2 linked regions of the Schizosaccharomyces pombe genome follow. The gene in region 2 interacts genetically with the main gene of each other region. Each region holds a gene or a part of one and is shown on either strand. Other genes may lie near its edges.

Region 1 (3,757 bases), 2.0 Mb from region 2:
CGACTTTTTCTTAGCAGGTGATTCACCACAATTTATAAAGGATAATCATGACAAAATTCTGAACTGGAGTCGGTTGGTTCCGTTTGAAATTCAGTCTTCAACATTAAATAGTGCTTCATTCATTTACTTGGATTCTTATGAATTGGGAAAGTTCATTTCTCATCTTTATAATGGAACGCCAGGGGACTTATCTCAGCGTGGAAACATTCCAGCCAATATATTTGTTTCTGCAAAAAAACTGTTGAATGTGGAAGGAAAGCAAAAGTTATTAGCTTCAGAATTTCTAAAACTTGGCGAGCGTCCTGGGGGGTTTTTTCGTACACATTTGATTACGTTATATGAACTTTTGTCCGAGGTTCGAATAAACGAAGAGGAAGATAGAGTGAAATTAAAACAACTTCTTTCGTCAAAGCTAGAAGTAATTCCTAAAAACTATATACAAAAGGTTGTATTAAACATCCTCTTTCTACTATTATCGATTGACACCCATTCGGACGTCGTTGAGCTTCTATTCAAATGTGCTCAAATTGTAAAAGGAAGACCGGATATAGAAAAAGACTTTGGAGTACCGTTATTGTCTCTTTTGAAACAACAAAGCGTTCCCATACGAGGCTTGCTACTTTCCGGAATCATTAACAATCCCGACGTGCTACCAAAGAATATATATGAAGACACTAGCTTTTCAGTTTTCGCGAACCTTGTGCGCTCCAATTCTCCCACCTTAAAAGAACATGCTATTGTTGTTTTTTCCATTATAGCACCAAAAGTAAGCCATCTTATCTTACAAATTGCTAATTAGTATACAGCTTTCGAAGAAAACATTGAATAATGAACTACTACGAAGCTTAGCGGTTGTCCAAAATGACCAACATCCTACTTTACGTACCAACAGTACCATTTGTCTAGGTAAAATTGCTGAATATTTAGATGCCAGCGTAAGACTAAGAAGAACTAAACGTTAGGACTTTATTTTTAACAGATTTAGGTGCGAAAACCCGTTTTAGCTGCTGCTTTATCACGTTCTCTTAAAGACCCATTTGTTCCTGCTAGAGAGGCAGCCTTAAAAGTACTCCTCTCAGTTCAAAATTACTTTGATACAAAGGATGTGGCCATCAAACTTTTCCCATCGGTGGTGCCATTACTAATTGATGAAAACGAGTAAGATTTTTTTGAACCTGTATACCACTTAGGAATTACTAACTTTTTGACGTTATTAGAGGAATACGAAGAACAGCTGAGGATGTCACTGACCAATTTTTGAGCCGTATAAAAAACTTTAATTTAGGGGAAAAAGAAAATGTTTCCGCACCGGCAAAATTTAATGGTTCTTTTTGGTCCAAATTTATTCATTCATCTTCTGCTTCTCCTTCGCCTTCTATCGATATGAAAAAGGAGTCGCTTGAGTTAAAAAATGATACCACTGAAATAAAAGAAAAAAAAAATTCAAAAAGTAGAGTTGTTGGAAACACTGAAAACTCTAAGGATGAATTCAATAATCCTCTTTTTGAAACAGAGGAACAGATAGACGAATCTTGGATGGAAAACTGGAATGACGAAGAGGAAACAGAAAATAACGTAGAGGAAAGTTGGGGGTTATAATTTGATTGAATTTAATTAATAATTTTTCGTGGTCAAGATTAATTCACGACTAAATCACATGTCGACTAAGTACTCCATGTACTACTCGTTTTGACATATTTCAATCAAGCTTGATTTTTAATAATTAATATTTTTAATAGCTAATTATTTTTCTCTTTGAACATTTATTAATACCACTGAAAGGATTAGTGAATGGTAGTTCTTTCTTTAGTTATCTATCTATTCGTAAATTCAAAGTATAGTAAATGTAAAAGGATTTTAATGTTCTTTTCAAAGAGTGTATCATTAGTAGTCAAATAATTCGTACTTCGACTATCCAGCACCTCTACACCTTGTTGATAATGATACTGCTGTACAGCCGCGTTTAAGTACTAAACCTCCACCGGGAACGTGGTCAATGAAGTACATCGGGATTTTCTATTTATAATGTCGAAAGCATCTCTTTCCCCGAACGTAGAAGACTGTACGTGATACTTATATTAATCTCAACTGATGAATTAGTGAAAAAAAAGCAAATTCGACAGTATAAGGAAATTATACGGTACGCATACATTTTTGTTGGAATTGAATAATTAATTAACACATACAAAGAATAAGCAAGGCACAATCAATTAGAATTAAAGAATTGCAGTTAGAAAATGAACGGTTGCTTTCGGAAAATATCGATTTGAGGACTACAGCGATAAACTTGGAAGAGCAACTCGAAACCGTGCAAAACGAAAACGAAGAAAACAAAACAAAGTTAGCTGCATTACTTAATCGATTTCATGAAGAAACAGATAATTTTTTATCAAAATTAAGTCTTTGTCAGCAAGAAATACAAGGTACGTGTTTGAATTCATATCGTTTTTAGCTAATTGAACACAGACACCTTCAAACCAGTGGAGGCTAACTTAGCTTACGATGTCGATACGGATTCTGAAGACCTTGACGAGGTAAGTTGAATCGTATTATGTTTTTCAGATATGTTTATCTAACGTCTGAAAGGAATCCGTCGTGAAAGATACCGAAGAAATAATTGAGCAAGCTCAGCATGATGTTTCCTTACGAAATTTAAGTGGAATAGAGGATGAAAATATAATTGATGACGGAGAAACTGCTATAAATGAACAAAAAAAAAGAGAAGCTAATGTTTTTTCCGACACGCAATCAGCACCTCAGCTAAAATCCGGCAAAGCCCTCCCAGCTGATTTTGAAAATCCTTACAATCTATCCAATTCGAAACCTGTAAATAATAATAATGAAGATAGAGTTGAAGCGGTTACTTCTGAAAATAAATCTATCGATTCTGCTCCTCAGGAAAAAAATCATGAATACGAAATCGTTAGTCCAAAATCATTATCCAACAAAATTAATAATCAAGCAGCTGCACAAAGAAGAACCGAAGAAGATAATGCAAATGGAGTTGCTCAAGAAGAAAATGAGGGTTCACAAGAAGCTCATTTTCATAGCAGAATACAATCTGATACAGTAATACAAAGTACACCCACTAAACGGAAATGGGACGTTGACATTCAAAATAAACAAATTAATCTGGCTTCTGCAGCTACCAATGTTACCGGTTATGTATCGGAGACCGATAGTCGCCCCAATCGCGCAAACTCTTTGGATTCTGCTGTCCTTCTTGTGCAATCTTCAAATAAAAGTAACCGAAATGGGCATCATATTTCAGATCCTAATTTAAATAGCTCCATATCGTTGAAGTTTGCGCCTGAAGATACTGCGCATAATTCATTAACTTCACAAGAGAATGTTGGGCCTCAGGTTACGACGACTTCTCTGTCAAATATGACTGTTGCTGAATCTCCTCGTACAGACACTCCAAGGGAAATAAACGGGTTAGTAGACTCTTCTGTCACTAATGGGAACGAAAAATTTTCTGTAGAAATAATGAATGACTCTAACAAAATTGGACTGAATCCTAAATCTTTTACCGACGAAGAGCGGGAAATTTTAACACTTTTTCGAAATCCTCCCATGAGACTGTCAAGTGAACCTCCATCTTCAAATGGATTTTCAATAGCCCATCCCAATAATTCTCCGTTACGTCCGCCATCGCTACAAGGAATATTGAATGCTGAAGATCGACCTTACGAAATTGAGCCGTCACGTAGCTCCTTTGCTACCAACGATACGGGCTCCTATAATAATTTGGAAC
Region 2 (3,757 bases):
TACAACTGTGTTTACATAGCAACAATTACATTCAAACCCTTATTTATCTTTAGCTATACAGCTATTCTCAAACGAATTTCTCAAGAGGCAACATAGTACTTGATAAAGATTCAAACTTGATACACTACATCTTGACCCTATCTTTGAGTTCAGTTGGTAACCCAAACTTAGAAGCATATGGAACAGAAGAAACGGAGAAGGCAGATATTCATGCACCCTCATTTTTGTTAACAAATTTATCTGCTGAGGTTTATGAGTAACGATTTTGCATGCATAAATTCTTTATTTAACGAGTAAAATTACGTTATTATTAGACACGATTTTGAATGCATGAAGAGCAGTGCATGCTAAATTAATAAATGGTAAAATTAAAGAAATTAGGTTATCTAGAATGTCAAACCTTAGGTTATTTAGAATGTCAAACCATAACGACAAAAGGTATTTTACATTTCTCAAGTCACTCGTAATCAATTCAATGTGAAAGAAAACAAAGGCGTTCATAAACTAGAATGTGATGTTAAGCGCCTAACAAAAATTTGTATAAGTATAATGTTAGATGCATTTTTCGAGTAAGAGAACAAGAACTCATACTACGACACGGGACTTGATAAAAGCAATAACGTCAGAAAAAAGCGAAATCTAATTTATAAACAAAAGAAAAAGAATTTTTTAAAGGAACACAAAAAAATTATTCATTTTCACGGAACGTTAAGTGGCTTTCATAAAATTGAAGCATCTTCTGAGGACATTTTTTATTGGTGATAGTACTAGGATGATGAGATATTGCACCGTTCTTCCAAGTCAGATAAATTTCCAAGGTTCCATCATCTTTTCGTTCAATTGTATCGATGCTAGATACCAAGTCTTCCCAAGAATCATAGTTTTCTACTTGTTTAACCGTCAGCTCTCTGTTGTCCGGAAGTTTGGGAACTTCCGGACTAGGCTTCTTTTTCGGAGTAACATTGCTAGGGGTCTCTGCTATTTGAATATCCTCACTTTCATTCGATTCTTTTTGTGAAGGAGATTTAGACTCATTGTCAGATTCAATGTGACCATTCGGCTGACCAGAAGGTGGGCCGTTCTCATTAAATTCCTCTTGCGATTTATCGGCGAATTTAATAGTTTTCTCATTCACATCTTCAATCTTTTCATTGGAATCTTTGTCGTGTTTATCTTCATCAGTTTTACGAGACTTTGGTGAAGGCTCCTTTGCTTCGGGCTTTTTAGGTCTTGCAGTCCTCTTTCTTTTAGAAGGTTCTGGTCTTCCTCCATGTTCATTCCAATATGCTTCTATCAACTGTTTGCAACCGCTACAATCGGCTTCTGAACTCCATGTATTATCACTGGGATCGTCATAACCTTCCCATTTCAAAAGGTATTCATAGCCTCCACCTTTTCTCGCCATACGGTGTTTTAAAACCTTTTCTACAACATATTCATCCTCTTCTTCTTCTTCTCCTCCTTCTTCTTCTTTGGCATTTTCTTTCAATTTCTTCGACGAAGATTTACTTTCATGATCGCTTTCAACTTCATTGTCCGACGACCCAGAGTCTGCTTTATGAGAAGCAATAGCCTCCTTTGTCATGCTTGGTAACTCTGGTTCCGAATCGTCGTCAATAACTGATCGTTTTGAAGTAGAGGAGCGCCGATAAGATCGAACACCTCCTTTCTTCATTTTTCACTTGTCTTAATATGAAAATAAACGAGATTTCAGAATATTTTAAAAAGTACTAAACATCAATTTCGCGTTGGTCTTTACAGGTTGTTTGCTCGTTTAGCGAGACATGTTTGGCTTGCTTTTCATGGTGTACAGAATGGCTAGCATCACATAGAGTTCGTTTATTAAAATATTGCATAGAAGTACTGTATTAATCGTTGTCTAAAAGTTGATTAACGACGCCTAATTTTGCTTAGATCACTATCAGTAATAATCATTATTTCAAAAGCATCTCAATTTCCTAGTGATTTACTTAATGCGAAATACGAAAATATTGAACAAATATTACCGTTAGAAATAAAATTAACATTTTAAGTAATGCTGCGAGTAACAAGATATTTGGCTGTTACGGTTGGCATGCTGATTTGTTTTCTAAAGCAATGCTGAGTCTCTCAAGATTGATAAACAATCTTAACTAGAAAACAATTCCACCTTTTAAATTTCGTAGGCAATCATCGTCAAACAACAAAATATATATTCTTATGAGGATTCTTTTTGCACTACATATTACACTGAATAACTTAAGTCGTCAACGAAGTCCCGAGTGGCTCAATCGGTTTAGAGCGTCTGACTCTTATGATGGTAATCAGAAGGTTGCGAGTTCGAGTCTCGCCTTGGGAGTTTATTTTTTCAATTTTTTTACAATGATACTACAATTTTTGGAATGTAAAGATTACTTAAATACAAAATGGTACGTTTAAAGAAATACGTACTTAGGGAAATTATGATAAATTCAACTTATTTGAGCACTCAAATATCAAAAAGAATGAGTAGTTGATGAAGTATCTTCAAAATTTCAAAAAACATGAACTTAGAGGCATCTGTACTGTTTTTGTAGACCATGGTTTATTAACATCTAAAAATAATGAAAAATAGCAAAAACATATGGTGTTGCATTAAAAAATTAGTAACGAATATGAAAGCATAAACATATGGTTTAGCCAGTCCAAAAATAACCCAATGTCTTGTATTGCAAGACACGGCTACCTAACATTTTCCAATCGCTGTTTTTTATCCACAGCTCCGATACGATCCGAATGCGATTGTATATACAAGCACCCTTCCAGGCAACAAATTGAGCATCCATACTTCTTGGTGGAGGAATTACCGAAATAGTAGGGATGTTGGCACGCTTGGAATGGATACGCTCTTCCAGTAAATGAGCAAAGCCCGGGAACTGACCAGCTCCACCGACGATCAAAATGCTTGAGTAAAGATTTTTTGCCTTCTCATCACTTAAATTTCCATCACATGCACTAAATATACTCTGGTTGATTGCATCATCCAAAGGATATATCAGTTTCTCATTCTTTATTTCTGGAGCAGCAAGTGAGCCACAATATACTACCCGTGGAGGCTTGAATTTTACCGAAGGTGTCACCAAATCACTTTCTTCTTTTTTCTCTTCATCATCTTTTCCATTAGCTTTGATGTTGGATATCGGCGTAGATATTTGCAATAAAGTGGTTTGGGCAAGTGATTCGGGATTATTCGGTTGGTTGTCATATACATCGACCGGCACTGGAAACAAAGTATACCGATCATGAAGTTTATTTTCATTTTCAAAAATGTCAGGGCGAAAGAATCCAAGAGGTGCAAGCATTGTTTCGTCAAGGCTTTTAAATGTAAATTTTCTAGTCCCTTTATCAGGTGTTCGCGAAAAGAAGCTATTCAATTGAACATTATAGGTTGCTTCACTTAGGCCACAATATTTTATTTTTAAAGCATTGGCTAAAGACCAATCATACGGAGTTTTTAAGTCAATATCCTGATACGGGAAATGACTTCTCATGAGTAATTTCATGAATAAAAGCGTAATGTCATCTCCTCCATAGTTTATTTTTATCCTTGAGTTGGGAACGACAACCCCTTCTTCTACACAACTGATGGATGTTTTCTGAGCGCCCATATCGACAACACAAGCAGCAGACATTCCAGCACCAAATGAAGTGCACAGCGATTCTTGGACTATGGCAGCCTTTCCAAAATGCAAATCAAAAAATAAAATGTCTAATATTTTCTCCACGTACACTCTATCGT

What was found. A genetic interaction does not mean that the proteins touch.
Region 1: mutations in swi6 (region 2) and sgo2 impair growth when combined (synthetic growth defect), as found in Schizosaccharomyces pombe (4 studies listed by BioGRID, with this or other methods).

What each region holds. Positions count from the first base shown.
Region 1 is NC_003424.3:3,712,162-3,715,918, forward strand, and holds the start of sgo2 (shugoshin Sgo2), read left to right. Parts: upstream 1-1,980; 5' UTR 1,981-2,025; coding exon 2,026-2,062; exon of another isoform or gene 2,063-2,100; coding exon 2,101-2,140; exon of another isoform or gene 2,141-2,190; coding exon 2,191-2,423; exon of another isoform or gene 2,424-2,466; coding exon 2,467-2,534; exon of another isoform or gene 2,535-2,586; coding exon 2,587-3,757. Other genes in the region: protein kinase domain and HEAT repeat protein Ppk3, read left to right, coding at 1-766, 807-935, 986-1,158, 1,218-1,599. UniProt on the Schizosaccharomyces pombe protein: Involved in chromosome cohesion during mitosis and meiosis by preventing premature dissociation of cohesin complex from centromeres after prophase, when most of cohesin complex dissociates from chromosomes arms.
Region 2 is NC_003424.3:1,702,327-1,706,083, forward strand, and holds swi6 (heterochromatin (HP1) family chromodomain protein Swi6), read right to left. Parts: upstream 1,773-3,757; 5' UTR 1,676-1,772; coding exon 689-1,675; 3' UTR 80-688; downstream 1-79. Other genes in the region: Ino80 complex actin-like protein Arp8, read right to left, coding at 2,655-3,757.